Mus musculus: one gene and its partners. The protein of the gene in region 1 interacts with the protein of each later gene in a biochemical or structural test. Links are inferred from orthologs where the notes say so. Each region holds a gene or a part of one and is shown in the gene's direction. Other genes may lie near its edges. The genes, in order: Tjp1, Jam2, Jam3, Cldn7, Cldn1, Cldn8 and Cgn.

Region 1 (4,442 bases):
CTTATAGTTCATGTTAGATAATTTAATTTGGTTACTCAAAATACCACTGGAAAAATTTTAAGAATGGTTACATTATTTGGAAATTTTTAATTGACACACTTTTTAAAGCAAAGTGTTCTGAAAGTGAAATGGTTTTCCTTGATTTCATTTTTTTTTTAAAGCCATGGCAAGATAAGACCAATCAGGTAAATTAGATGTAGACACGATGTAGTGATCTAATATTTAGCTTACATAATAGACTTGATAAACTGATTGACCAAAGAGAAAAGGGAAGGAGTAGGCGCATCAAACTGCTAGGCAGGTTTGCAGAGTGCATCTCTTATTAAATGGTAATGCCCTCCCTGGTATGAAAGTCCTTCAGGAACCGCTTTCTCAGCCACAGCACACCCAAGTCTTTTATAATGCTGTTTTCTCATAGGATAAATTTAATCACCCCCTTTGAGAGAACACAGGACACTTTGCCTGTGAAATAACTACACACACCACAACTAAAACAAAACAAAACAAAAAACAAAACTGACTTTAACTGTTTTCCTACATGCCGAGAAACAGGGTTTGGTTTGCACGATGCTCTTTTCTGGTTCAGCTGGCTTAGAGTTACAAAATACTTGACTTTGAAACCTTAATTGATGTTTACATTTCATGTATGGATATTTCCAAGTTAGAATTAGGTTTAAATTGGTCATATAGTTGAATTCTCAAAAGACAACAATAGTCTAAAAGCCGATGCTTCTGTCTCCCTCTTCCTTGTATGGCTACTGTAGCACTATGCTAGGTACTTTAGGATGTTATCTAATGTTACTAAATTTTTCTAATATTCCTTAAGAGCTTTGCAGTATACAGAATGTAAATTAATGAAGCTCGAAATAGTTTTCTACCTAATTTTTTTTTTTTTTTTTTTTTGGTTCAGCAAGACAGTTGGCCTAAGTTTGCACAGTGGCCTATTGAACTTGTTGAATTCCGCGTGTCCTTACATCCTTTTCTGGTTTAGAAAGGCAGGCAGCCTGCTCTGTCTCTTCAGGGGCCAAGAATTTCAGCAATCTTGATAGCCTAAAATATTCTATTGAGATCCCTGTCTAGCGAGGCGGGAGAAGGGGGCTGGGATTATCTCAGTGTCCAGATTTGTACCTGGTTTATTTAAGGCAGTCGGTTTGTCCTGAGCCTTCTAGAACGCTTCTGTTGTGCTTTAAACAAAAACATATCTCCAATGGGGTAACAGTGCCGAGACACATGGTGACAGTTGTGACCATTGTTACTTGCGAGGCTAAAGAAACCACAGTTGGGTATTGGCCAGGCCGACCTTAATTGTCACACTCCTGCGTGGGGCCCATCTGGGGTTGCTGGTTGAGGAGAAAGTAGACAAGTCTGTGTAGGGAGTCAAAAAGCTTTAGTACACAGGAGTTTGGGGTTCTCGGGGGTGGGGGTGAATCGAATTCTGCCGGATCTGTGATAAAAACAAACAGGATGGATCGCGCGGCAGCGGAAACCGCCTAGCAAGTAACTTGGGTAGCCGAGCTTTTCCTTCCGCGCGGGGGTCGGACCCGGCCTGGCCCCGCCCCTCGCGGAGGCCCCGCCCCCGCCGGCTGGGCATGCTCAGTGGCCCGGTCCGGCAGGTTTTGCGTGGCCGCCTGAGTTGCCCGCGACGGCTCTGCCCGCCGACGGCACGTCTCTCGGCGGCCGCGCGTTCCGGGGAAGTTACGTGCGGGAGCAGGCTTTGGAGGAGACGCCCGAGGGTGTAGGGGACAGCCGGAGGCCCGGGTACTGCGGAGCGGCGAGCCGGCGGAGGGCGGCGGAGGCCGAGCAGGCGGCCGGGTGTGCCCCGCGGAGAAGCCCGGGCGGGGCGGACGCTTCCCGGACTTTTGTCCCACTTGAATCCCCTCCCCGTGGGCCGGGCCTTTCCGGCCTCCCCCGCCCCTGCCCCGCTCGTCCCCGGGAGATGTTTATGCGGACGGTGGCGTGAGGAGCGGGCGGGCCGGCGGCGCGGAGTTTCGGGTCCGAGGAGCTTCGCGCGGCGCGGAGAGAGACAAGATGTCCGCCAGGGCCGCGGCCGCTAAGGTGAGAACCTCTCGGCCAGCCGGGCGGCGGGCTGGGCGGCGGGGGGCGGCGGGGGAGCCTCGCCCCGCCCTCCCCGCGGCGGCAGCCGGGGGCGACCGCGGCGGGGCGGTGAGGGAAGGCGGGAGGGCGGGCTGGGGGTGCGCCTGCCGCCCGGGCAGGTGCACGGCTGCCGGTGCCTGGCTCCGGCTCGCGCTGGGAGGCGACGTGCAACAGGTCCCGCGCCTGGAAAGTCGCCCCGGGTGAGGATTCTCAGGTCCCGGGAGCGTGTCTGCGGAGACCCGGGGGTGTCAGCTGCAGCAGGAGGGTGGGTGGGTAGCCGCGGGGCTGGCTCTGGAGGAGTGGTTGGTACCCGACGAAACCCTATAGTTTCGATCTGATGTCACCCGCTGCGGTATGCGCAATGGCAGCGATAAAGCTTGGAGACAGCAAAACACTCAGCTCTAGAGTAGCTATGGTTTATTTTGAGGTTTATTATTTATGTGAGGCCACAGAAGGAGGAAAGTTTTTAAGCACTTTAATTTCAACTTTCAGAAGTAGCACAAAGTGTCCCTACACATGGACAGTAAGATGGGTGCAAACCAAAAGAGCCCGGTGAATTCTGCACAAAACAACTTGCCTATTTTCCTGTGTGCTTTGAAGTGTGCTTCTTGACAGTGTGTTATATTATTATTACATTAGGCTAAAATTCTTAAAGATGAAGTAGAATCCTTCTTTTGTACGTTTTAATTAAAAAAAAATCCTAAAGTGCTTGCTTTTTCAATGACAGACATACAGTGTGAGAAAAATCAATCCGTTATTCAAACAGCTTAAACAGGTGGTGATTTTATGTAGTTTTCTATTTGAAATACTTAATCATAACCTTTGAGAATAGATGGAAATTTCTGAATTCTTGACAGGACCTTGTTTCTTTGGCAGATACAAGGTTTAGTATAGATTGTTTTAAGGAATAGAGTATTGCTCCTGTAGGAGTAATTTAGTTTGTATCTTTTTTTTTGAGCAAACATTGATAAGAGATCTAAAAGAAAGACTGGGTCCAAAAACTAGAATCAGTGCAACATTTGTTACTTTTAAAATATAAGTGATGATATTTGCATTTGCTGGGACTTCCTTTCCTGGGATGAAAGGCTTTGTTGCCATATTACACAGAATGTCAGTTTGTTTCAGAGTGTGAGCTCTGGTACTTGTTAGTCAAGACAACACACTTGGAAAGTGTTATTCCAAGAGAAGTGTTTCCAATAGCTTGCTGTGGCAAGGTGATTTAGAAGGTGTGCTTTTACACATAAATTATGGTATTGAGATCTTATGGCACATAGGGGCACCTCTGTAGTTAAATATTTGCGTCCTTAGCTGGGAACTGAAGGGTTATTTTCTTGGATGCAGTCTTACATAAAGCCAGGCCCTCCCTCAATGAGCTAGTGAATGCAGTGTTAACCAGTTGCCTCCTTCCCTAAGTCACATTTATTGTTCTCAGGGAACCCAAAATGCTTAAGCTCCAGCTCCATGGTTGTTTTACATAGGGTGCTTTTGTTTCTCCTACCCCTGTGAAGACATACAGACACTCGTTTTGCAGCCTGCTCTTGTGTTTTTGGCACAGCAGTTGTAGAACTTGAGTGCGTCAGTACTTTTCATTCTCCAGCTTTGTAAGGTCGAGTAGTTTTCACCATGCCGCTCCAGTCATCACTGCCTTTTGGATGGAGCTGTTGGGCTTGTTTCCAGGATATTGTTATTGCAATGAGTATAATTTATATAATTGTATTTACATTTTTGTATTGTACACCTGCTACTCTATGTCAGCTTATTAAAAGTGAAACTGCTATGCCAAAGAGTGCGTTTCAAATTCTGATATACACAAACTCTTACTCCAAAGTCTTTACCTAAGAATAAACACAGCAAATATTGGTGAGTTGGCCTGAATCTTGATGAAGGACATAAATCCAAGTCAGTGCCATAAAACTCTGTGGCTGACGAGAGTCAATAGATTTACCCATGGTCCCTGAATTGATGGTTAAGTGCAGCGACTTCTAAGGAGAGTTCCATTGTGGTGGTATAGAAAGCATGTTAGCTGAAGATGTTTATCTTACCACGTAGATGAATGCAAGGAGAAAGTCCTTTCAGAAAACCCAATTTATTATAAATTCAGAGTACTTTAAAATAGAGAATGGAGTCACATAGTCAGAAATAACATATTTATGGGCTGTTAGTGATTGTGATCAACATTAAATATGAGCTAAGATAGCGGGCGTGGTGGCGTACACCTTTAATCCCAGCATTTGGGAGGCAAGAGGCAGGCGAATTTCTGAGTTCAAGGCCAGCCTGGTTTACGGAGTGAGTTCCAGGACAGCCAAGGCTACACAGAGAAACCCTGTCTCGAAAACACCAAAATAAGT
Region 2 (4,170 bases), on another chromosome or scaffold:
GACTAATTTGACTCTTTTAATTGGATTGTCAAGGACAATTGACTTAACCTGTCTCTGAGCACAGGCCTTAAGTCTTTTTTTTTTTTTTTTTTTTTTTTTGCCTTAAGTCTTAAGTTAGATGACACCCTTACTCCCTTACTGTTTGTGAGTTTGGGCTACCAGCTCCATTTTTGCCTTTTTTTTTTTTTTTTTTTTTAACTTTGCTTTTCTTGCCCTCAGGGGTCTTCTGTCCCCTCCCCTTCCCCATGAGGGCCAAAGCTTTCATCACTGTTGCCCAGGCAACAGTGGGGATGCCTCATTCCTCACAGCTCTGCATATCTAAGTATATCTTAAGCCTTTGTCCGCAAGGCTGGCTCAATTCTTTGTAAGTGGTCCACCACTAAATCAGCCATCCTCTACACATAATTATTTATTATTTAGCTTTATTTAAAACGATTTTAAAAAATGTCTTCACCTGACAACGGCCTTTACACAGACGGGTCAATTTTCTTGAATGCCCCAGCCATCAGTTCTGGAGAGGAAATGTGAAAATCGCCTTTGCAAGTGCACGCTTCCGAAGTGCGGGTCAATTTTAAAGCACGCACTGGAGCATTCATAATGGATTTCCCTTTTAAAAGCACATGAGACCAAAAATAAACCTGACAAAAGGGCAGCTGTAGAGTTTTAACATGTGGAAAACTCCACAGGCGGCAGTTACATAACGGGGAAGAAACAAGATAAATATTTCACACCGTTAGATGAACTTCCAGATGACAACTAAGAAGCCAAGAGCCCAGAACACACCTTAACTCTCTAAGGGGTTGGGGGGACGGGGAGGACGGACTTGAAGCCAGAAGAGGCTAAGCCTGATGATAAAATCTGGGACCTGACTTGCAACTTGAGTGATGCCTTTGTCCCCCGCCCCCTCCGCCCCTCCCCACCCCCCCTTTCTAGAGGCAGGGGCTGAGCTCATGCCCCTATACTTTAAGAGCGCTTCGCCAGCGGTTTTGTCCGCTAGATAGAAATTTTCCAAAAAATATCTCCCACGCTAGGCAAAACACTGAAAAGGAAGTTTTTTTGCGCCAAGAGGAGAGACATGGCGAGACAGACCGAGCCACTACCGCTCCCAACACACACACACCCTGCCCATCCCACCCGGCTGCGCTCCTCCTGCCCCCAGCTCCTCGCCCTGGGGACAGCTGGCAGCCTAGCGCGGGACTAGACACAAAGCGGATCAGTCTGGGGGCGGGGGGCCGACCTGCAGGGTTCTCCCTCAAGAGGCTAGTCCTCTGCCGCCACTCGCTTAGGACCCTGCGGACACCGCGTCCCGCGTCCACGCCCTCCCCTCAACCCTCTTCCACCCTTCAAAAGAAGGACTGTCCCAGACACCACGTCCTAGGGCCAGAAGACCTGCCCCCACGACAGTCGCTGGAGACACCCCAGACCGGAGAGACTGACATCGGGACAGGACCCGCCCCTCTGCTTCCACCTCTCAGGGACCTCCTCTGCTCCGCCGCCGGGCGAAGTGCTGGGAGACCCAGCCGCCTGTCGCGCTCCTGCAGGGGGACCCTCAGCTAGGCAGCCAGCTGGCGCCCGCGTAGATGGCGAGGAGCCCCCAAGGCCTCCTGATGCTGCTGCTGCTACACTACTTGATCGTCGCCCTGGACTGTAAGTCTCTGGGGTAACAGTCCTTTCCACCCTCCGGTCTGGCTATACCAGCCTCCGGGACCCTCGCCTGCAGGCATGGCGCTCAGTGCTAGGGGGTCTGTCTCGGGGCGCCAGGCTTTGCAGTCTGGGAGCACGGAGGGTAATCTGGATGAGGGCAGGCTCTGGGCAGGGAGACTGAAGTCCTGTGCGTCTTGTAAATAGTGTTGGATCTGGGCAGTTAAGAATTGAAGAAAACAGACGATCCTCATCTCCTTGCAAAGTCCGAGGAAGTTTTCAAAGACACCGGGACGTGATCAGAATGCAAAACTCTCTAAGTATTCAAGATGCGAAGAGCCCAAGAAAGATGGCATCCGGGGTTGGCGAAGGCCACTCTTAAGTAGCTGCGGCTGAGGGATCAGTGGTTACGGTCCCAGCTGCCCCGGGCAAGGTGCTGGGTAAAGCACTTTAGAGGCGGTAGCGGGGTGAAATTAGCTGAGCCCCAGTAGCTTTTCGCCTTTACGCCTGCAAAACCGGCTTAGAGAAGTCTGTCCGCTCCAGCCAGCTGCCGTGTCCTCAGGGGATGTCCAGCCAGCGGGACTGGCTGTTAGGATTGTTAGAAAGGCGCAGGCGATGAATGAGCGAGCTGGCAGCTGGCATAGCTGCGGAGGCGTCCCAAAGCCAGTTTAGTTTCTCTGGGTACTTTGAAAGAGGATTTGCGCGGGTGCTGGCCTAATGTGATTTGAAATTTGATTTTTGTTTTCTTCGCGTTAACTTTTTAGGAAAAGGTAGGAAATTACTATCTATTTTTAAGTGAGGAAGTCCTTGTTGTTGTTGTTGTTGTTGTTGTTGATGATGATGATAAACACCCTCCCCCTCCCTGTTATCTTTTGTTCTGTTGGTTTCTTCACTAGGGAGGGGTAAATGTGTTATTGTTGAGGTTCAAGTTCTAGTCACAGTACTTAATAGTAGTTCAATTATTCTGCCCGACGAACGTCTTAACACTAACGCTGAGGCTTTTTCTCAGACCAAAGTGATGGGGGCTCACAAAACGATTTGCCGCTCAGAACCCGAACAGGGTGCCTGCTGACTCAGGGGGAGGTATATATCAAGCCAGGAAGTTGACATTCGCAATGAAATCTTTATGCATGCTGAAATATCAGCTGGTATCAAACGGAACACTTAGGGTTTGAGAGGTAATGTACTGAGTATGAAAATCAGCGACGAAGCTGGAATCTGGAGGTAGCGTAACTAAAAAAACAAAAAGTTAAGGTGAAAAGTTCTGTGTTCCTCTGAGCTTTTAAGTCTCACTTTAACAGGAGTCATTTAAAAATAAAATAGTTTTTCTCTGTTATTCCCATTCTGTCATCAAAATAGAAACAATAGATGCCGTTTGTCATTCCAGCGTAGTCAATCCAGAAGCCAGCGAAGGCTAATACTGAATGTGTAGAATGAGTTCTTCCATATCTAGGTTATCGGCAGGCTCCACTAACTCTGATACCTGTAAGGAAGAAGTTGGGAAGCAGCACGGGACCTTTCTCATACTGTTCCCTCAGTGCCAGAAGGTCTGGCATTTCAAGCGTGTTTTCTTCCCTTTTAACACATTTAAAACTTTCAAAAACAATTCAGCTGTAAAGAAAGGGGACATTAGCATAGATAGTTCCCATATACTCTATACCCAGTTACCACCATTACAGTCTTATTATTATATAGTGTCACATGGGATACTCTGCTTAGATCTTCCTCATTCTTATGGAATGTCCTTTTCTGTCCCGGGATACCACATTTGGATTAACGGTCTTCTTCCTTTATGCTCCTCTTGGCTGTGGCAGTATTTCAGACACCCCTTGTTTTTTATGACCTTGACAGGTGCTGGTTAATTACGCTGTTAAATTTCCTTCAACTGGTATATCTCAGATGCTTCATTTGTGGTTAAATGATGTCATAGGGTTTTTGGAGGAAGAAGGAAGAGAAAGGAAAGACATTTTCATCCTCTCCTAATCCAGGGGACATGACCTGTCACTATGCTTTTAACCTTCTTGGCCTGGTGGAGGCAGTGTGTGTCAGCTTGCTGCAAGGGCTCCCTACTGTGCTATCCTCAATTCCACACTATACTGTTTTAAAGAAATGTCGATATTTTCAGCTCACACTAACGGACAGAGGCTGGGTTGGTTGGTGATACATGACTATAATCTCAGCAGGCGGGCAGGAGGCAGACAGACCATTCAAGGCCACAAAGGATTCAAGGACAGCCTGGATTATGGTGAGAATATCTCCAAAAATTATCAAGGAATGAGGGCGACAGTCAGTCTCAGAGGTAGGAAGCAAGGGCTAGAAATGAGGACTTACATGACATAAACACACATGTATAAGCTTGCGCACATACACAGAGCACATATACACACACATAGGAATGTATTTCATTTTCTCCAGGGTCAAATTTCTTCATAGATTATTTCGGGCTTGTATGCACCGGAAATATGTCTTCTCAAACTTACTTACACACTTGTTTTAGGATCTTATTTAATCACTTATTTTAATATCAGC
Region 3 (3,428 bases), on another chromosome or scaffold:
AGTTTACACTGGCTGTCATCAGTATTCTGCACTCATCTCTGTGTGAAGACCAAGTACACAACTACTGGGCCACATGGTGGCTACATGGTGAGTTTTTGAGACGGCTTTCCAAAGGAGCGTCACCATATATATATATTTATATATATATATATTTTTTTTTAAATTTTGTGTCTTTTGCCTGCATATGTCTGTGCACTGTATCTGCATGCTGAGTGTGCAGAGGTCAGAAGAGGGCATTGGCTCCCATGGAATTGGAGTTATGTATGGTTGTGAACCCACATAGGTTGCTGGGAACCAAACCTGGATCCTCTAAAAGCAGTAATTGACTTAATCACTGAGCAAGCCATGTGCCCAGCCCTGGCTTCTCCATTTACACTCACGCTTCGGTGCTTCCACCATAGTCACACACACACTTGTGATCATTTGACCTTTATTTTAATAGTCTTAGAGGGTATAAGGTATCCAAGTGGAGTTTCATCTCTCCATGTGCAAAGTGGGCAGTGTCTTGGGAGAAACCTGATCAACTGTTAGGTGCATTTCCACTGAGTTGTAGAGTCATACATTGCAGAGGCAAGTCCTTTTTCTGACGTGGCTTGCAGAGTCGTCCGTACCCCTGGTACAGACGGTGTAGATTGCTTTCTCGGCTGCTTACTTCCTTTAAAGCAGAGCCGCTGTTGACTTGATGGAATGTAGTATAACCCCCAGTTTTTGTGCTTGTGTCTTTGTTGTCGTATCTAAGGAACCATCACCGAAGCCACGGTCATGAAGATTATGCCTTCTGAGATGGCTCAGTGGATAGGGCACTGGCTGCTCTTGCAGAGGACCTGGGTTTGATTCCACAGACATCAGGCATATATCTGCTGTACAGACATACATGCAGGCAAAACACTCATCCATATAAAGGAAACAAATCTAAAAACTTTTGCTAATATTGCCCAGGCTGGCCTCCAGTTAACTGTGTTGCCTAGGCTAACCTCAAACTCCATTCCTATAAACTTATAGTGTTGCAAATAAATGCCCAGCTCTTGTTCAACTCTAGTGGGTATTTGTTGACTAGGGAGGCAGCCAGGGGTCAGCTTTCTTCTTTTTCATGTGGATAGCCACAACATCCTTTGTAGACTTTGTTTTGTAAATATTTATTTGGTTTTCCTTTCTTAACTTTTCCTTGAATTAATTTTCTCCTCCTGGGAATAATAAGGAGAAATAAGGTTCCTGGCTTTATCTTAACTACCAGATACTAGTTCTGATGCTCAGGTTGCACATGGGAAGAAGTCAGTGGCCTGGTCCCCATGAAGATCACGTCTTTCATACAGGGAGGGACAGGACAAACAGCACTGTACTGCAGTCTTCTTGCTCTGCCATCAAGTCCAGCCCCACAGTCTTCCAGTGTCTAGGATCTTGTGTCTTCTTTTTTATAGGAGACCTGGCAGGTCGCACAGATGTGTTTGGAAAAACTTCCCTGAGGATCTGGAATGTGACACGATCGGATTCAGCCATCTATCGCTGTGAGGTCGTTGCTCTAAATGACCGAAAAGAAGTTGATGAGATTACCATTGAGTTAATTGTGCAAGGTAGGCCCCATTAATGTGTAGCATCTCTACTGGCCAGCCCTATGAGTCAGCCCTTAGCTCTAGAATAAGAGACTAGCTCATATTTCGATTCATTCCTCCAGGGCTGTGTTCCTGGGGCTATCTGCAGTTTGGAAGGGGGGCCACTGAGGCTGTCTAGAGTTGGGCTGGGATGATGAGAACACGCATCTGCTGTGTTCCTTACCGGCCTCAGGGATCTGCCTTTGCAGCCTCCTTTTCAGCTTACTCCTGAAGGTGGAAGAACTGGAGACTGTGAGATTGGACACACGGGCTGGAATGAACTCAGAGTGAGCAGGGTGCAGGCAGTGGATGGGCTGTGGCCTTCGGAGCTGCTTTATTACGCTAGGTTTTGGTATGATGGGCTTGTGCTGAGATTTTAAACACCAACCCGTATTTTGCCTGCAGTGAAGCCAGTGACCCCTGTCTGCAGAATTCCAGCCGCTGTACCTGTAGGCAAGACGGCAACACTGCAGTGCCAAGAGAGCGAGGGCTATCCCCGGCCTCACTACAGCTGGTACCGCAATGATGTGCCACTGCCTACAGATTCCAGAGCCAATCCCAGGTTCCAGAATTCCTCTTTCCATGTGAACTCGGAGACAGGCACTCTGGTAAGAGCCCTTCCAAGGTGAGGAAGCAGATGCGTTTGTTGGAACCTAGGATGCCTGGAAGGAGAGCCAGGGAGGCTCCTTTTCAAGGCAGAGGCAAAATCTAGAACATCAGAAACACTACAGGAAAGGTGGCTTCGGCTTTCATATAAACAAGTGTTAAGGGTAAAACAAAATGGAAACCTGTACATCTGCATGAGAACAGGGGGCAGGTAAACAAGTGGGTTCATGTTATTAGAATCCTAGTTTGAATAATCAACGGAACATATGCACCACGTGAAGGAAATGTGCTTACTGGGCAGGTGTTTGATATTAAGCCATTATCAACAGAATTGTGATTATAGTTCTTAAGTCCTTATCATAAAGAGATATGGATTAAATATGTCTTGAATTTGCTTCAGAATAACTCCTGGTGCCTGGTGGTGGTTGGCATCACGTGCCTTTAGTCCCAGCACTCAGGAGGCAGGCGGATTTCTGTGAGTTTGAGGCCATCTTGGTCTACAGAGTGAGTTTCAGGTCAGCCAAGGCTATACAGAGAAACTCTGTCTCAAAACAACAACAACAAAAAACAATTAAAAAAAAAAGAAAAAGAAAAAAGGCTAACCCACTGGGAGGTAGGAGGTCACATGGGAGCGAGAAGAAAATGCAACAGCATGGCTTGGCCATCTGCAAAGGACATGCTGGCTTTGAGGCACTCAGCAGGGAGGGTGGCGTCCTGGTTTGTGAAATACCCAACTTCAGGGAGTGATTGGGTGAATCGTGACTCATTCTAGGGTATTGGTATTTGTCTAAGGAGAGCTGCTAGGATCCCTTGAACTTCAGAGGGACAGTGAAGTGGGCTGCTTGCAGCCTAGCTTTGCCCAGCTTTGCTCTCTCTGCATCCCGAAGGGAGTTCCTTGTGAAGCTCTGATGCAGGAGGGAAATGGTGAGGACAGTAGAGCTGCTGGTGAGCGGACTGCTTTGTGGCTTCAGTGGGGCGTCTGTGTGGTGTCACCCTTGATGTCTGTCACTCAGTTTGTCCTGTTGAGTGAAGTAACACTTTGTCATTTCTAAAACAGGTTTTCAATGCTGTCCACAAGGACGACTCTGGGCAGTACTACTGCATTGCTTCCAATGACGCAGGTGCAGCCAGGTGTGAGGGGCAGGACATGGAAGTCTGTGAGTCACTTGAAAAGATTACACTGAAGACAAGAGTGAATAGAACATTTAAGTTGAATGTTAGTTCTGCAGCTGA
Region 4 (4,247 bases), on another chromosome or scaffold:
GGGGCAGTGATGGACACACTGGGCTACTGGGCTCCAAGGGTCTGGAGGGAGCAACCTTAGTCTGGAAGTGTGTGTGTGTGTGTGTGTGTGTGTGTGTGTGTGTGTGTGTGTGTTGGGGGGGGTGAATAAAAATGCAGAAGGCAGGAAAAGGGGAAAGATAAATGAGAACCTTAGAAGCCAAGCTGGGAGGAAGGATGGTCAAAGTTCTGGGAAAGCTGGAAGGAGTGGAGGCTGAGCTAGGCTTTCTATTTTTTTTTTTAAGATTTTATTATTATATTTAAATACACTGTAGCTGTCTTCAGACACACCAGAAGAGGGTGTCAAGATCTCATTATGGATGGTTGTGAGCCACCATGTGTTTACTGGGACTTGAACTCAGGACCTTTGGAAGAGCAGTCAGTGCTCTTAACCCCTGAGCCATCTCCCCAGCCTTAAGCTAGACTTTCTAAGGGATGAATTAAGATGCTAGAGTGGGTCGGAGGGCACCGAAAGGGCACACAAACAGGTCCCCGGAAGCTCAGAATGAAGGAAAGAGAAAGTGTGTGGATGGAGAAGGAAGTGAGGAAAATGAAGGTAAACCAGAAATGACAACCTGGGGAGGGGAATGTTGGGCGTGTCGTGTCAGACTCTCTGACCTAGGTCTTACCCTTCTCCCCACCCTCGGAAAACTCCTTCGGGTAGAAGGAGCCTCTATGTTGGAGGAGACACTGACAGGCTCAGGTGCTAAGTCCTGTACCTACCTGGTCCTGGGACCAGGCCTGTGGGAGGACTGTCGGAGAGCCGTGTCTTGTGGAGGGCTTGAGCGGTGAAGCGGTAGGTTGCTAGACTGTCTGAGAGTAGAAATTCCTAGAAGGGTGCATGCAGCACGGGTGATTTTACCGTAATGGGTTAGGGCCCCTGATGATGAGACAGGCCTTGGTAGGAGACTAAAGAAAAAAAGAGCTGAGAGTGGAGACGAAAGTCGGGCTGGACAAGTGGCACGCGCCGAAACCTGCAGGGGAAGGATGGCGAGGAGCCTTTCCAGGGGCGTCTGAGGGTACTGGCTCCGCAGCGACCCAGGCGCACCTGTATGGAAAGGAGAGGAAGGGGCCACTTGGAGTCTGCAGGGCAGACTCCGACCCCAGGGACTTCTGAGAAGCCGTCGCCTATTTCCCATCAACGGTTAGAGCCAGGCAAATGAAGGGGCGTGACCCTGGAGCTCAGGTTTCTTCCTCTTCACCTGGACGAGGAGGGGGTAGGGGCCAAGACTTCCGGTTCAGGTGAGTGTCCCTTCAGTGACGTCAGGTCACTCGACTGCCCCTCTGGTCCCGCCCAAGTTGCAGCGCTCCGGGTGCCTGCGGGGGCGCGTCCCCGACGTCCTGCATATATATACTCAGGTGCGCCGCACCTGCTCGCCCGCACCTGCCGCCGCACCGCCAGCTCCCTGTGCCGCGCACCGCAGCCTGGGGCCCAAGGGCCCGCATACTTTCTGGGGGCCACGCCCTAACGGCCCCTCCACTTCTTTGGGTAGTCTCGGAGCACGCCGGTAGGAACCGCCCGGCCTTCGGGGACCGCTTTTGTCTGGAACCAGTCCTTCGGGCGAAGCCGGTTCCCTCTGCTGTGAGAGTGTCGCTTCACCGGAGGGGACGATTTGTGTTTACCTCGGTTAACAAGATTTGTAGTTACCCGGTCCAAAAAAAAATCTTTTTCTCCTTTGGGTGACTTAAATCTCTATCCAAATTTTCTTGTGTTGCTGCTCCCCGGATTTTTGTTTTTTTGTTTTTTTGCTTTACTGTAGGGTCGCCCTCCCGGCGCGTCCCGTCTTTTCTGAGACAAGGAAATGGCCAACTCGGGCCTGCAACTGCTGGGCTTTTCAATGGCCATGCTTGGCTGGGTGGGCCTGATAGCGAGCACTGCCATCCCTCAGTGGCAGATGAGCTCCTATGCGGGCGACAACATCATCACAGCCCAGGCCATGTACAAGGGGCTCTGGATGGAGTGCGTCACGCAGAGCACCGGCATGATGAGCTGCAAAATGTACGACTCGGTGCTCGCCCTGCCGGGTAAGGCCGTGGGACCGACGGGGCGGACGTGCCCAGGGTCAAGGTGGCCGGGTTGGGTGTGGGGCAGGGCCCAGGCCGCACTGCCCGGCGCCCGGGGTTGCCAGGGAGGAGGAAGTGGACGCCTTGGGCTCAGTCGGTGGGACAGAGAGAGAGCGTGCCTGGGATCTGATCTGGGTGTCCCACGTGGGTCCACGCCCCTCTGCCCAGATTTTTTTTGGGGGGGTTTCCTGGGCGAAGCACCCCCCAACCCCTGGCAGTCAGTGGTCTCTCTCTTCCCCTGCTTCTTTCTCTGGACAAAAGGAGAAGAGGGACGGAGGTTCTCAGGGCCGCGGAATCGTGCCCTCGTTAGACGTGGGACCGTACTTGTGGCCTCTAATCTTATCGGCCGATTAGCTGAAGCCACAAACTCGGTGGCCTCGATAGCGGGGCCAAAGCTAGGACACGCGCCGGCTGGTGTGGCTGGAGCGAGGGCCTTAGCCGCCACCTGCACTTCTCTTTCGCCCCCTTTCTCCCTTCCCCCCTACCTGGAACGGTTTCATCGAAACCTTGGCGCCCCGGGCGGGTTCTGGAGCGCAGGGCGGGGCGGGGAGCGGAAAGGACTTGGTGGCGGGATGGGGGCGGGAACCGTCTGCACAAGGCCTGCCTTGGACTAGGGGGCCCCAGGCTGCCGGCGGAACCAGACAGGCGGACCACGGTCCAGGGGTTAGTGGGCGCGGTCTGCAGCACTAAGGCTGGCGCCATCCTAAGGCTACCTGCCATTTCCAGCAATGACCGCCGCCTTCCTCCCCTGCAGGAGCCCTGCAGGCCACTCGAGCCTTAATGGTGGTGTCCCTGGTGTTGGGCTTCTTAGCCATGTTTGTCGCCACGATGGGCATGAAGTGCACACGCTGTGGGGGAGATGACAAAGCGAAGAAGGCCCGAATAGCTATGACTGGAGGCATTGTTTTCATTGTGGCAGGTGAGCCTCAAGGGTCCAGGGTGGGACCAAGGGGCTCAGTCTTTCACCCAGAAGAGCATAGTCAAGATCTTGGTCTGGACACCCAATACCAGAATCTTCTTTCTCTTTCTAGGTCTTGCTGCCTTGGTAGCATGTTCCTGGATTGGTCATCAGATTGTCACAGACTTTTATAACCCCTTGACGCCCATGAACGTTAAGTAAGTCTCCAGTCTAAAGAACCAGTAAGAACCAGATTATGCTGGGCGTGGTAGCACACGCCTTTAATCCCAGTACTTGGGAGACAGAGGCAGGCGGATCTCTGAGTTCGAGGCCAGCCTGGTCTACAAAGTGAGTTCCAGGACAGCCAAGGCTACACAGAGAAACCCTGTCTTGAAAGAACAAACAAAAAGATTATGTGGACTTGGGAGACATCAGGTCCGTTTTGACTCCAATCTTTTCTCCCTACAGGTACGAGTTTGGACCTGCCATCTTTATCGGCTGGGCAGGGTCTGCTCTGGTCCTTCTGGGAGGTGCCCTGCTCTCTTGCTCCTGTCCAGGCAGTGAAAGCAAAGCTGCGTACCGAGCACCCCGCTCTTACCCCAAGTCCAATTCCTCCAAGGAATACGTGTGAGCTGGGGAGCCCAGCCTGCGGGCAGGGTGGGAGGCAAAGGCCTCCTGGCCACTCCACCTCCAAACATCATGTATAGTTTGCTTGGGGGGAGGGCAGTTGGGGGGTTACTGGGAGAGGAAGACATGGGGTGTGCTTTTGTACAGAAATAAAATTAAGTTTTGGAAATTAGGTCTTTCCAGGCCGCTTTTTCTCCAGACCCAGATCCTTGCACAGGACTTGGAACTAAAGCAACTTACAGCAGCATGTGGTACCAGTGGTGTCTCCAGGCCTGGGGTCCCTACCTCCTTGGGCCTATTGCCTCAGCTCTAGTCTCAAGGTTCTTACCCACTCTCCTCCAAACTTTTCCCCACTGATTATTATTGTGTGGCCTAGTGGTATATAGGTGGGTATGTGTAGGGCAGTGAGTTCAGGGACTGAATTAAGGTCATTGGGAATGTGGCAAGTACCTTTTCCTGTTGCTATCTCATCATCCCCAACATCTGCTCTTGTTTAAGCATTACCAGAGGTTTTGATTGACACACACACACATATATATTTTATTAGAAATGGGCACACACTATGCCCTCATCACACTCATCCTAGCTTGATGCTGCTCCTTGGCTCACGACACAGCTTCTGCAGACAAAGTAACAAAGGA
Region 5 (3,659 bases), on another chromosome or scaffold:
TTGGAGTAGACTATGAACTCCTGACCCTGCCTACAAAGCTATAATGTATGTGTGTGTGTGTGTGTGTGTGTGTGTGTGTGTGTATAGTGTGTATATGTATTGTAATGTGTATATGTATATTTATGTACATATGTATTCCTATGTATATATGTATATGGGAATCAGTATGGGTATGTGTGTGTGTATATCTATATATCTATATATCTATATCCATATATATGTATATGTATGCCTCCTGCCAACCTAAATTTACTTTATTTCACTTCCTACCATTTGTCATTTATCTATTAGGTAGCCAGTTGGCCCATTTTACTCGGGATCCACGACTTTCTTAGGATGCTAGACTTTTTACTTAAAATACGAAGCATCCTTAGCAAACAGGCAAGAATGAATGGTCACACTCTCCTCCAGGCACATAGATCTCATCATTGCCTGCAGCATCTTTCCAAAATGGTTTCTATCTAAGCAAAACATCAAATCTGTTTTGTAAGAACATAATTATTTAGTTGTTTATTTTCCTAAGAAATAACATGTACTGTTCAAAATACTGTTGATAACTCAGAAGGAAGTGTACACCTTAACTGGGAGTCCTTGGGACTTTCCTCTTTAAACCACAGCATGGTTGGTGACTCCAAGGAAAGTTTTCTAATGGTCACATGAGCAGCTTCCGTTCCTAGTAAAGCCATGGGCCATGGAACATGGCTCTGATCCAGTAGTTCCTTCCTTACCCTGGAACCTTGTAATGAGTGTGCAAGAGAGGTGTGTCTATATATTCTTGTTGCACACTTATAAACAAAAGAGTATGCCAAAAGAGAGAGTGTACCATTTTAGTATTTTGATGAAAGAGTAAAAATTGCTTCCAAATATCATGGAATGCTGTGAAAATACATTTGATACTGCTTAGAAAGACGTTGTGTGATTCTGTCATGGACTGTAATAACAAGGATAGAAATGGTTGTAAGTTAAAATGTAGTGGCATTCCAGAGAAGTTTGTTTTGAATTGAGATTGGTAACTTAACTTCTCAATTTTGAACATGTGAGACTAACCCTGTGTACCTACTAAATATTGAGAAGACCATCATCTAGTCACTCCTGAAGACCAGGAAGGAGCAAATTGTTCTAACTCCCTGCATAGAGATGGTCACCCTTATATTTTACAAAATACAAGCATGGTTCCAAATAGTAGGTAATTTTCTCAAGATCCTAATAGCTTGCAGTGTAAATGTTTCCATACAAAAAAAACGTCCACTTCACTTATTAAGAGTGTGGTATAGTGATGTTCAGTTGAAAGGGGAAATTAATTTATAATTTAAACATCTTCTAAGTAGGGTTCCAGCACACACACACACACACACACACACACACACACACACACACACACTATTCTTTTACCATAATGTTGGCTTTTATTCCTTAGGAAACACACTGTCACAGTCTCTCAAATCTCATCCTGTCTCTGGTGATAATTTAACACAACACAGATAAGAAAGAGGCTTTTAGAAAATTTGCAGAAACCTTAGAAATGCGAGCTGGGGTTATCCCTAACATTATGTAGTATGCTTTTGTGGTTTTAAAAACTGGTACTATCTCCTATGAATCTACTGCTATGTTCCAAGTTATCTTCTTAAATTTTTGCCTTAACTTAAAAATCTAGAAAGTTGTACCCTTCCCCTACTCAACCTCGTGTAACTAGGGATACAATATTACTTATCTAGCCGTGGTCACCCCTGAAAACCTCATTTGCTTGTCCATAGTCACTTGTTTCTGAAGCCTAGAGAATGTAGTCTAAAACTAGTGACTAGTACTAAATATGTATTTTAAGCCAGAGTTACAAATGATGACCATTAAGGATAATATGTGTGACTGTTAGTTCAGACTCTAACTACCCAATGGTAATGGTTACATATTCAGCTCAGTGAGACCTATTCAACTGATTCATTAATAACTTTCCAGTTGATTTTGGACTTCATAACTAAAGTAGCAGCCATCCTTGACTCTCGGTTTGCATCCTCCTAGCAACCGTCCCAGTGGCTACGGCAGAAATGTCACTAGAGTTCATTTTCCTTTGGGCACCTTGTTCACTTTTATCCCTTCCCCCCTAAATACAATAACGTATCTCATCTCCCACCACTGTGCTGTGACTGCTCCAGGCATGGTTTTGACATGTCCTGAATCTTTCCCACCAGGTACTTTGCAGGCAACCCGAGCCTTGATGGTAATTGGCATCCTGCTGGGGCTGATCGCAATCTTTGTGTCCACCATTGGCATGAAGTGCATGAGGTGCCTGGAAGATGATGAGGTGCAGAAGATGTGGATGGCTGTCATTGGGGGCATAATATTTTTAATTTCAGGTAAGAGAGGCTCCTCCTTCTCCCTTGTCTACTTTTCACAAAAGAGTGTGGTTTGAAATCAAGGTTTCTAACTTTTAGCTTCTTTGGTTTATATTCTATTCACTGAATCTGAAACTTTAAAAAAATATTCTACCATCTGAAGACATGAGCCTTATATTCAGTTGGCTTTCATCTTCTCACTAAGAACCAGTGGGAATTTGACCTCTGTACACTTCTGTCAAGTACAACCATGAAGGGCTCAAGTACCTACTAGTCTCTTGGCCCAGTCTATTCAGATTCAGAAGATATTTTGATACTTAGCCAAAGAGTCTGAACCAATTTGATGTGATTCAGAAAATGCTATTTGGGTGTGATGGTTCATGGCTGTGATCCTAGCATAAGAAAGATGAGTACAGGGAAACGTGGAGTTCAAGGCCAGCCTCAAGAAAATAAACATAATATGTGAATGGTATTGGATTGGGAAAGATGGGATTGGACCTAGTGGAGAAAACTGGAAGGAGGTAACGTTGTAGATAGGCAGAGCTAATTTCACAACAAACACTATGTACCCATGGACCAGAGAAAAGATAATTTAGTATGAGTACGCTTGGAATATTAACAAGGTAGGCTATAAAGTTAGCTGAGCTAAGGAAGAAAACAGAACAGAAAGAAAGGGATTTGAAAGCTTCTGACAACGTAGGCTGGGTGTTGCAGGGAAGAAACATTACAAGGATTGCATCAAAGGCTGTAGTGTCACGCCACACCCATCCTCACGACTCTCACAAGTGCTATAGGCATGTATCTGGGGTGGCTTCAGAAGTCTGCTTAACCAGTTCAAGAGCATATGTATGATCAGTTTGCATGGTCAACTAGAATGATTTTTTGGTACCGTCAAGTACTATAAAAGAAGTTATTTGTTTTGGATTTGTCAGTTTTCCGAACAGTTATTATATAAATTGTGGTATTTTGAAATATATATATATATATATATATATATATATATATATATATATATATATATATATATATATACAATAAATTAGAATATATACAATAAATTATATATATGTATACAATAAATTAGAATGATTAATATATGTTTTTGTCAGATACTCTTTTTGGGGAATAATACTTTATATCCACTCTCCAGCATTTTTTTCTTTATTTCTTTTCTTTTCACTTTTTTGGGGAGGGTAGTTTTAAGATAGGGTTTCTCTGTGTAGCCCAGGACATCCTAAAACTCATTCTGTATTCCAGGTTTGCTTCAAACTAGCAGAGATCTGCCTGTCTCTGCCCTCCAAGTGCTGGGATTAAAAATGTGTCCCACCA
Region 6 (4,170 bases), on another chromosome or scaffold:
ATGCTATATCTCAAGCTATCCTCAACGGCAATCTAAGATCTTTTAAAAAAAAAATGTAACTTTTAAATGTGTATGCCAAAAAATAGCTTGAAGTTTGGGGATACAGGGCAGAAAGCAAAGGACGGCCTCCCACACGAAATTTCTAGTGGAGCTTTGCCAGTCAGTGTGGGTGCTGATTCCAGTAGCAGTTCAATTGTCAGTTTGCAAAGACAGTTCACATTGCCTTACAAGGAGCCACCAAGTCTATTTGCATAACACATGTCCCCATAGGTAGGGAAGATAATTTTGATTAACATTTAATATAATTTTCGATGAAGATGTTACTTAAAATGCCAGCTATTTGCAGAGACCTGGGACTTTCTTGCACACTATCCATCCAGAATTCCCTTTTCTTCAGACTAGAAGATGGAGCAGGAAGTAGGGGCTAGAAAAAAGGCCTCTACTTTAGCAACTACAGAAGACCTCATTTAAGCATTAAGTTAGGGATTCCGTCTTCACAAAGCCACCTGGCTTTTCTTTTGGTGTGTTTTGCACTCTTCATTATAAATCAGTATTTTCAGGAAAACAAATGCTAACAGATAGCTTCCCCCCTCCCCAACCCCGACACCCAATTACACACAGTTAGTGGCAATGGGGAAAGCAACCTGGTTAAGAAGTTGCTTCAGTCTAGCGTTGGCTCTTGGCAGTGTGCTACTGGCTGAACCCACTGCAGGAGAGCTTGCTTTTGAAGTTTTAGACAAATTAAATCAACACTTCAGGTCACGTGTCCCAACAAGAATGTGGTTTCCCCAGTATGAACAATCTATCCATCCTTCATTCTCCTTTAACTTGGCCCTAGAGTCATCCCTGTCCAATCCCTTGGAAGAGGTTTTACTGCAACCTCAGTCAGAACAGCTTAGGGGCAGGATTCACCTCTGAAAAGAGCAGTGCCTCTTTTAACTGGGAGAGACTGGCTCTCCTTGCTGATTGTGCAAACATTCATAATTATGCCTCTAGGTAAACATACTGCTGTCTTCTTAGAAAATAGAGAAGTACAAAGAATGTTTATTTGCAAGCCCAGCTTTCCCAGGTATCCTGAGTTGGTTTAGACACACCTGAGCTCCCATCCCCCTCTTATTGGCTAAGAAAGTTGCCACACCTGATTTGCAAGTTTACTGTTGGAGCCAAAGGGGGGGGGGGGGAGAGAAGAGGGGGTTGTGTCACCAGCCAGCACTAGATTTGATCTGGCCAGAGAGGGCTAAGCTCTGTGTTGTGAGCACATTTCTACAGGAGAACTGTTCCCTCCCTCCCAAGGCGTACAGATTTCTGCTTGAAAGGAAGCCCTACTTCCCGGGTCAGCGTTCCAGCTGGATACAATTTGGGAGGACGATGGCAACCTACGCTCTTCAAATGGCTGCACTGGTGCTTGGTGGTGTTGGCATGGTGGGCACGGTGGCTGTGACTATCATGCCTCAGTGGAGAGTGTCTGCCTTCATCGAAAGTAACATTGTGGTGTTTGAGAACCGCTGGGAAGGCTTGTGGATGAATTGTATGAGGCATGCCAACATCAGAATGCAGTGCAAGGTCTACGACTCCCTGCTGGCTCTTAGTCCAGACCTCCAGGCATCCCGAGGACTGATGTGTGCTGCGTCCGTCTTGGCTTTCTTGGCTTTCATGACAGCCATCCTCGGAATGAAGTGCACCAGATGCACGGGGGACGATGAGAACGTGAAGAGCCGCATCTTGCTGACAGCCGGAATCATCTTCTTCATCACCGGCTTGGTTGTGCTCATCCCTGTCAGCTGGGTTGCCAATTCCATCATCAGAGACTTCTACAACCCACTGGTGGATGTGGCCCTAAAGCGCGAGCTGGGAGAAGCCCTCTACATAGGCTGGACCACAGCGCTGGTGCTGATCGCTGGAGGAGCACTGTTCTGTTGTGTGTTTTGTTGTACTGAAAGGAGCAACAGTTACAGGTACTCGGTACCATCCCATCGCACCACTCAACGGAGTTTCCACGCCGAAAAGAGATCTCCGAGCATATACTCCAAAAGTCAGTATGTGTAGTTGTGTGTGTATATTTTAGCCGTAGCTAAGCTTTTATAAATCACCAAACCAGCCACTATTTTAGAGAAATGGAGCCCACACTGTATCCATTTACCTTTCTTAACTGCCTAGCACTCATTAGAGGAAATATGCAGCGTCTATGTTTCCATAAGTGATTTTAGCAGAATGAGGTATTATGTGCACTGCTTCGATTGTTCTAGAAAGCCTAGCCATTTGTTTTCTAAAATGGTTCACTCAGCTCTTCCTTTTTATCAGTCACTCTAAACCTGCACATCGAAAGACTGTTGGCTTAAGCTGTGATTTCTCTGTGTCATGACATTATCCAAGTAGATGCGGGTGGCAGTTATATCTCACACAAATAGAGACAGGCTTATGTGGTTCTATTTAAAGTGGAATGCCAATCCATCACGCTGAATAAATAGAACTCAGCTATTGCATTTCAGGGGGCCTGGGGATAAAAGAGAAGGAGGCTGATATTAATTGCCTAAAAACAGCTTAAGGATTAGTGCACTCTATTTGTAGTGAAGGTTAAAATGAAGGCTTTAATCATTAGTGTAAGGCTTTCTGCTATCCTGCTTTGCAGCCTCGAGGAGTAAGAAATTCCGTCACCTTTATCCTTTCCCTCTACACGCCTTAATTTTCTGTTGCCTACTATCTCTTAAAGTTTAAAGCAGATGTTTTGGCAAAATATTTTTTTTTCCTTTAGACTACTTTTGTAAGGCTAAGCAGTGGTCTTAGAAAAATTAATGATTTCAGAAAAATGAAATCATTAGCTTTTCTGTTTAGAGAAGAATGTATTGTTTTTGAAATGAAGTCATATCATGCAAGGGATTGTTCAAATGCTATTTTTGCATAGTTTTTTCTTTCTTTTTTTTAGGAACTTATCAGTATATATGAGGGAGAAAGAAGGACATTTTCATTGTCATTTTATTAACCCAAAGAGAGACACAAACCCTCCAAATCCAAAAGCTTGTCCCCTTCTAACTCCTGACACTCAAACTTATCATTTCTCTTCTGTTGAAGGGATTTCCCCATTTTCTATGCCTTTGCTAAGTTCTATTGAAGTGTAGTATCACTCTGTGTTTCCTCCTAATTTGAGACAACTGTTATTCTAAGTTTCATATATATGACTTTTATATTGATAAATTGTATCTCATAACAATATAGCATTTCTTGCATCTTCATTCTTTTTCTTTACCTTGTGCAAGTGTTTAAAACTTGGTATTGACTCTTTTAGTTTGAACATAGATATTGTGTTCACTTTTGTAATGTATGATTTAAAATCCACGTACTTTATAATGACCTCACATATGCACTAATATTTGATTAATATATGAATAATATTAAATTGCACTTAGGTCCAATGAAATGTGTTTGTTGTAAATACTGTGTATGTAATCATGTTTTAAAAGATGTTGTCCATATGTATTTCAACTCCTGAGAATTCATATGAACTAAAAGCAGTGCTGAAATGACTTGGGAATATACATCATATTTATGTGAAGGATATTATTAAACGTTTGCAATACTAATATTGTAGTAGTTTTAATTTATAAATGGGAGAACCTTAAAAAATAGTTGGGTGATAGCCAGTGATACTGGCAGAAAACATAAGAGATGACACTGCAGAACCCCTCAGCAAGTGCTCATGACGCTCTGGGGGATCTAGTTTATAAAGCAATCTCTGTATGTGGAATTAAAGGTTCAAGTACTGTTAGCTGGAAAAGCTTAGTTCTCGCTCCCGTGTGGGTGATGTCACTCTACATCCTGGGCAACTTTGCCTCTTTGGGGCAAAACAGTTGCTAGGAGAAGAAACAAACAAGGACTAACAAAATGGCCTAGACAAAAATCCAGACAGCCATCTTATACAAGAAAGTCTGTATAAGTCTGTAAGCAACAAATACGTAGTTGCCCTAAGTGTCACAGACACCATTCATATTTTCTTCGTCCCCTCCCCCACTAAATCAGAATGTAAGGGATTAGGACCACTTCTTTGGTGTTTCTGAAGTGTCTTCTTCACGTTCTACCTTAAATATAATCCCATTTCTTCTCACAAGAAATTGTATTTTGGTGTCACTGTGTCAATAATGTTTTTCATCCAATTAGCTGCCAAATTCTTATTAT
Region 7 (3,659 bases), on another chromosome or scaffold:
AGACCAGTGAGGTCGGCCTGTGTCAGCCTCACAAGTTCTAGGACTAGAGATGTGTGTCACCACACCCAACATTACCTTTTTCATCTTCCTATCTCCAATGCTTCAGCCTGAGTTTTCCTTTCTCTCAGCCCAGCCTTCCTCCTCTCCCGCCTCCCAGGTAGAGAAACAGCAGCTGGAAGAGGCTTTGAATGCTGCCCGGGAGGAGGAGGGGAACCTGGCAGCAGCCAAGCGGGCTCTGGAGGTCCGGCTAGATGAGGCCCAGCGGGGGCTGGCACGCCTTGGGCAGGAACAGCAAGCACTGAACCGGGCCCTAGAGGAAGAGGGGAAGCAGCGGGAGGCTCTCCGGAGGAGCAAGGCAGAGTTGGAGGAGCAGAAGCGTTTGCTGAACAGGACTGTAGACCGACTCAACAAAGAGGTGAATATGGGTAGTGTGGCCCCTTAGGAAGGGGTGCGAGCCCTACAGAAGCTAACCCTGGAGGTGGGTCAGGATGTATGGCACTACTTTTTCTCAGATAGGATTGGACCAAATTTTTCTTTTTTAAAAAAGTTTTAAACTTTACTATTACTGTTATCTTGTTTGTTTGCTTTTTGGTTGGTTTTGTTTTGTTTTGTTTGTTTGTTTGTTTGTTTGTTTTTTCTGAGACAGGGCTTCTCTGTGTAACCTTGACTGTCCTAGAAGTCATTATATAGACCACAGCCTGGCTTTGAATTTACAGAGATCCACCTGCCTCTGCCTCCCATGTGCTGAAATTAAGGAAGGGCGTGTGCCACCATGCTTGGTCCTTATGATATATCTGTCTATGTGGGGGCTTATATGTGTGCATATGAGTGAGTACGGTACCCCAGGAGGTCAGAAGAGGACATCAAGCTCCCCGGAGCTAGAGTTACAGGCAGTTTTGAGCTGCCCGATATGAGTGCTAGAAACTGAACTCAGGTCCTGGAAGAGCAGTATGTACTCTTTTTTGCATTCATTAATTGATTTATTCACTTCAATCCTGATGGCAGCCCCATCTCTCCTCCTAGTGCTCCTCTCACACAGCCCCTTCTGCCATCCCTTCTTCTGAGAAGAGGGAAGAAGGGGAGGTCTCCCCTGGATACCAACCCACCCTGGCACCTCAAATCACTGCAGGACTAGACACATCCTCTCCCACTGAAACTAGACAAGGCAGTCTAGTAAGGATCTACAGGCAGGGGGAAAAGTCAGGGTGAGCCCTGGCTCCAGTTGTTGGGGGACCCACATAAAGACCAAGTTGCACATCTGCTGCATATGTTTGTGGTGGGGAGAAGCCTATGTATGCTCTTTGGTTGGTCAGTCTCTGGGTGCCCCCAAGGGTCCAAGTTAATTGATTCTATTGGGAGTCCCTATCTCCTCTGGGTTCCTCAGTCCTTCCCCCAACTCTTCCATAAGAGTCCCTTTGTGGACTTTATCTAATGTTTGTCTATGGGTATTTGCATCTGTTTTGGTCAGCTGCTGGGTGGAGCCTCTGAGAGGACAGTTATGCTAGGCTCCTGTCTACAAGCAAGACAGACTATCATTAATACTGTCAGGGATTGGTGCTTGCCCATGGTATGGGTCTCAAGTTGGGCCCCTCATTGATTGATCATTCTCTCAGTTTCTGCTCCATCTTTGTCCTTGGATTTCTTATAGGCAGGACATATTTTGGGTGGAAGGTTTTGTGGGTGGGTTGATGTTCTTATCCCTCCAATGAGAGTCCTGCCTGGCTATAGGATGTGGCTACTTCAGGCTCTGTATCCCCTTCTGCTAGGCGTCTCAGCTAAAGTCACTTGAATAGACTCCTCAGAGACTCCCCATCCCAGGTTTCTGGCATTAGTAAAGATTTAAATTGCAGGAAGAGCCAAAGAGACACAGTAACTGAGGGTTTGTGGTAGTTTAGTCGGCAGATTTTCTATCTTAGAAGTACGTCTTATAACTTGAGTTTGCAGAAATGTGGTCATTGAAGATTTACTTAGTATCAGCCACTTTATAGGTATTTTAAATCATTAACATAATTCAGTATCAACTCAGCAATGTAGGTGCTGTTATTATCTCATTTTATAGACAGGAAAATGAGATCAGAGATGATAAGTAAGGGCTAAAACTCCAACGTCCAGAATTTGAATATATAACGATTAGCCATTCCAGGGATCTAGACCAGGCAAGCTAGAGACAGCTGCTTGGCAGAGCGGAAGCTCATGGGAGACTCTTGGAAGCTGGGTCTAGAGAAGGGACTGAACATTTGTTACAGAGGTGCAGTGCTGACAGAAACCTTTTCCCTCTGCGTTTTAGCTGGAGCAGATTGGGGATGACTCCAAGCTAGCCCTGCAGCAGCTCCAGGCTCAGATGGAAGATTACAAGGAAAAGGCCCGGAAGGAAGTAGCTGATGCCCAGCGTCAGGCCAAGGATTGGGCCAGTGAGGCTGAAAAGAATTCAGGGGGGCTGAGCCGGCTTCAGGATGAGGTAGGAACGTAGACAACAGGAGCCTGTCCATGGCTTTGAAAGTCTTTGCCTTCTCACTGAACCTATGGCTGGAGTGCTAGGCCCCAGACTCATGTGGAACCACAGAAGAGGGCATCCATCTCTAGAGCAGCATCCTTCTCTAGAACAGCATCCATCTCTAGAGCAGCATCCCTCTCTAGAGCAGCATCCCTCTCTAGAGCAGCATCCCTCTCTAGAGCAGCATCCCTCTCTAGAGCAGCATCCCTCTCTAGAGCAGCATCCCTCTCTAGAGCAGCATCCCTCTCTAGAGCAGCATCCCTCTCTAGAGCAGCATCCCTCTCTAGAGCAGCATCCCTCTCTAGAGCAGCATCCCTCTCTAGAGCAGCATCCCTCTCTAGAACAGCATCCATCTCTAGAGCAGCATCCCTCTCTAGAGCAGCATCCCTCTCTAGAGCAGCATCCCTCTCTAGAGCAGCATCCCTCTCTAGAGCAGCATCCCTCTCTAGAGCAGCATCCCTCTCTAGAGCAGCATCCCTCTCTAGAGCAGCATCCCTCTCTAGAGCAGCATCCCTCTCTAGAGCAGCATCCCTCTCTAGAGCAGCATCCCTCTCTAGAACAGCATCCATCTCTAGAGCAGCATCCCTCTCTAGAGCAGCATCCCTCTCTAGAGCAGCATCCCTCTCTAGAGCAGCATCCCTCTCTAGATCAGCATCCCTCTCTAGAGCAGCATCCCTCTCTAGAGCAGCATCCCTCTCTAGAGCAGCATCCATCTCTAGAACGGCATCCTTTTCTAGAGCAGCATCCCTCTCTAGAGCAGCATCCCTCTCTAGAGCAGCATCCCTCTCTAGAGCAGCATCCCTCTCTAGAGCAGTGGCTTTCAACCTCTGCTGCACATTAAAGTCACCCAGAATGATTTTTTAAAATCTTTTTTGCTTTTTTTTTTCCTGCTTTTTTGAGACAGGATTTCTCTGTAACTCTGACTGTCCTAGAAATCAGAGATTGTGTGCCTGTCTCCCAAGTGCTGGGATTAAAGGCATGCACTGCCACTGCTACGCTGAGATGTTGAAAAATCTTAATTCTAAACATCATCTCATATTACATAGATATTAATTTGGGACCTAGAGCCAGTAGATATTTTTTTGTTTGTTTGCTTTGAGGTAGGGTCTTAACTATGGCTGGCTTTGAACTCACAGAGATCTCTTTGATCTCTACCTGCTAATGC

The links.
Region 2: the proteins of Tjp1 (region 1) and Jam2 form a complex in vitro, tested with the Homo sapiens proteins (2 studies listed by BioGRID and IntAct, with this or other methods). The link is inferred for Mus musculus from reciprocal best matches to the Homo sapiens genes TJP1 and JAM2.
Region 3: the proteins of Tjp1 (region 1) and Jam3 form a complex in vitro, tested with the Homo sapiens proteins (2 studies listed by BioGRID and IntAct, with this or other methods). The link is inferred for Mus musculus from reciprocal best matches to the Homo sapiens genes TJP1 and JAM3.
Region 4: the proteins of Tjp1 (region 1) and Cldn7 form a complex in vitro, tested with the Homo sapiens proteins (2 studies listed by BioGRID and IntAct, with this or other methods). The link is inferred for Mus musculus from reciprocal best matches to the Homo sapiens genes TJP1 and CLDN7.
Region 5: the proteins of Tjp1 (region 1) and Cldn1 form a complex in vitro, tested with the Homo sapiens proteins (2 studies listed by BioGRID and IntAct, with this or other methods). The link is inferred for Mus musculus from reciprocal best matches to the Homo sapiens genes TJP1 and CLDN1.
Region 6: the proteins of Tjp1 (region 1) and Cldn8 form a complex in vitro, tested with the Homo sapiens proteins (2 studies listed by BioGRID and IntAct, with this or other methods). The link is inferred for Mus musculus from reciprocal best matches to the Homo sapiens genes TJP1 and CLDN8.
Region 7: the proteins of Tjp1 (region 1) and Cgn form a complex in vitro, tested with the Homo sapiens proteins (2 studies listed by BioGRID and IntAct, with this or other methods). The link is inferred for Mus musculus from reciprocal best matches to the Homo sapiens genes TJP1 and CGN.

What each region holds. Positions count from the first base shown.
Region 1 is NC_000073.6:65,368,423-65,372,864, reverse strand, and holds the start of Tjp1 (tight junction protein ZO-1), read left to right. Parts: upstream 1-1,620; 5' UTR 1,621-2,028; coding exon 2,029-2,055; intron 2,056-4,442. UniProt on the Homo sapiens protein: TJP1, TJP2, and TJP3 are closely related scaffolding proteins that link tight junction (TJ) transmembrane proteins such as claudins, junctional adhesion molecules, and occludin to the actin cytoskeleton.
Region 2 is NC_000082.6:84,772,907-84,777,076, forward strand, and holds the start of Jam2 (junctional adhesion molecule B precursor), read left to right. Parts: upstream 1-1,216; 5' UTR 1,217-1,580; coding exon 1,581-1,647; intron 1,648-4,170. UniProt on the Homo sapiens protein: Junctional adhesion protein that mediates heterotypic cell-cell interactions with its cognate receptor JAM3 to regulate different cellular processes. Plays a role in homing and mobilization of hematopoietic stem and progenitor cells within the bone marrow.
Region 3 is NC_000075.6:27,100,007-27,103,434, reverse strand, and holds part of Jam3 (junctional adhesion molecule C precursor), read left to right. Parts: intron 1-1,418; coding exon 1,419-1,571; intron 1,572-1,994; coding exon 1,995-2,197; intron 2,198-3,252; coding exon 3,253-3,352; intron 3,353-3,428. UniProt on the Homo sapiens protein: Junctional adhesion protein that mediates heterotypic cell-cell interactions with its cognate receptor JAM2 to regulate different cellular processes. Plays a role in homing and mobilization of hematopoietic stem and progenitor cells within the bone marrow.
Region 4 is NC_000077.6:69,964,108-69,968,354, forward strand, and holds Cldn7 (claudin-7 precursor), read left to right. Parts: upstream 1-1,313; 5' UTR 1,314-1,819; coding exon 1,820-2,042; intron 2,043-2,835; coding exon 2,836-3,000; intron 3,001-3,112; coding exon 3,113-3,197; intron 3,198-3,447; coding exon 3,448-3,610; 3' UTR 3,611-3,779; downstream 3,780-4,247. UniProt on the Homo sapiens protein: Plays a major role in tight junction-specific obliteration of the intercellular space.
Region 5 is NC_000082.6:26,361,762-26,365,420, reverse strand, and holds part of Cldn1 (claudin-1), read left to right. Parts: intron 1-2,186; coding exon 2,187-2,351; intron 2,352-3,659.
Region 6 is NC_000082.6:88,560,234-88,564,403, reverse strand, and holds Cldn8 (claudin-8), read left to right. Parts: upstream 1-1,220; 5' UTR 1,221-1,368; coding exon 1,369-2,046; 3' UTR 2,047-3,578; downstream 3,579-4,170.
Region 7 is NC_000069.6:94,765,916-94,769,574, reverse strand, and holds part of Cgn (cingulin), read left to right. Parts: intron 1-157; coding exon 158-415; intron 416-2,287; coding exon 2,288-2,458; intron 2,459-3,659. UniProt on the Homo sapiens protein: Probably plays a role in the formation and regulation of the tight junction (TJ) paracellular permeability barrier.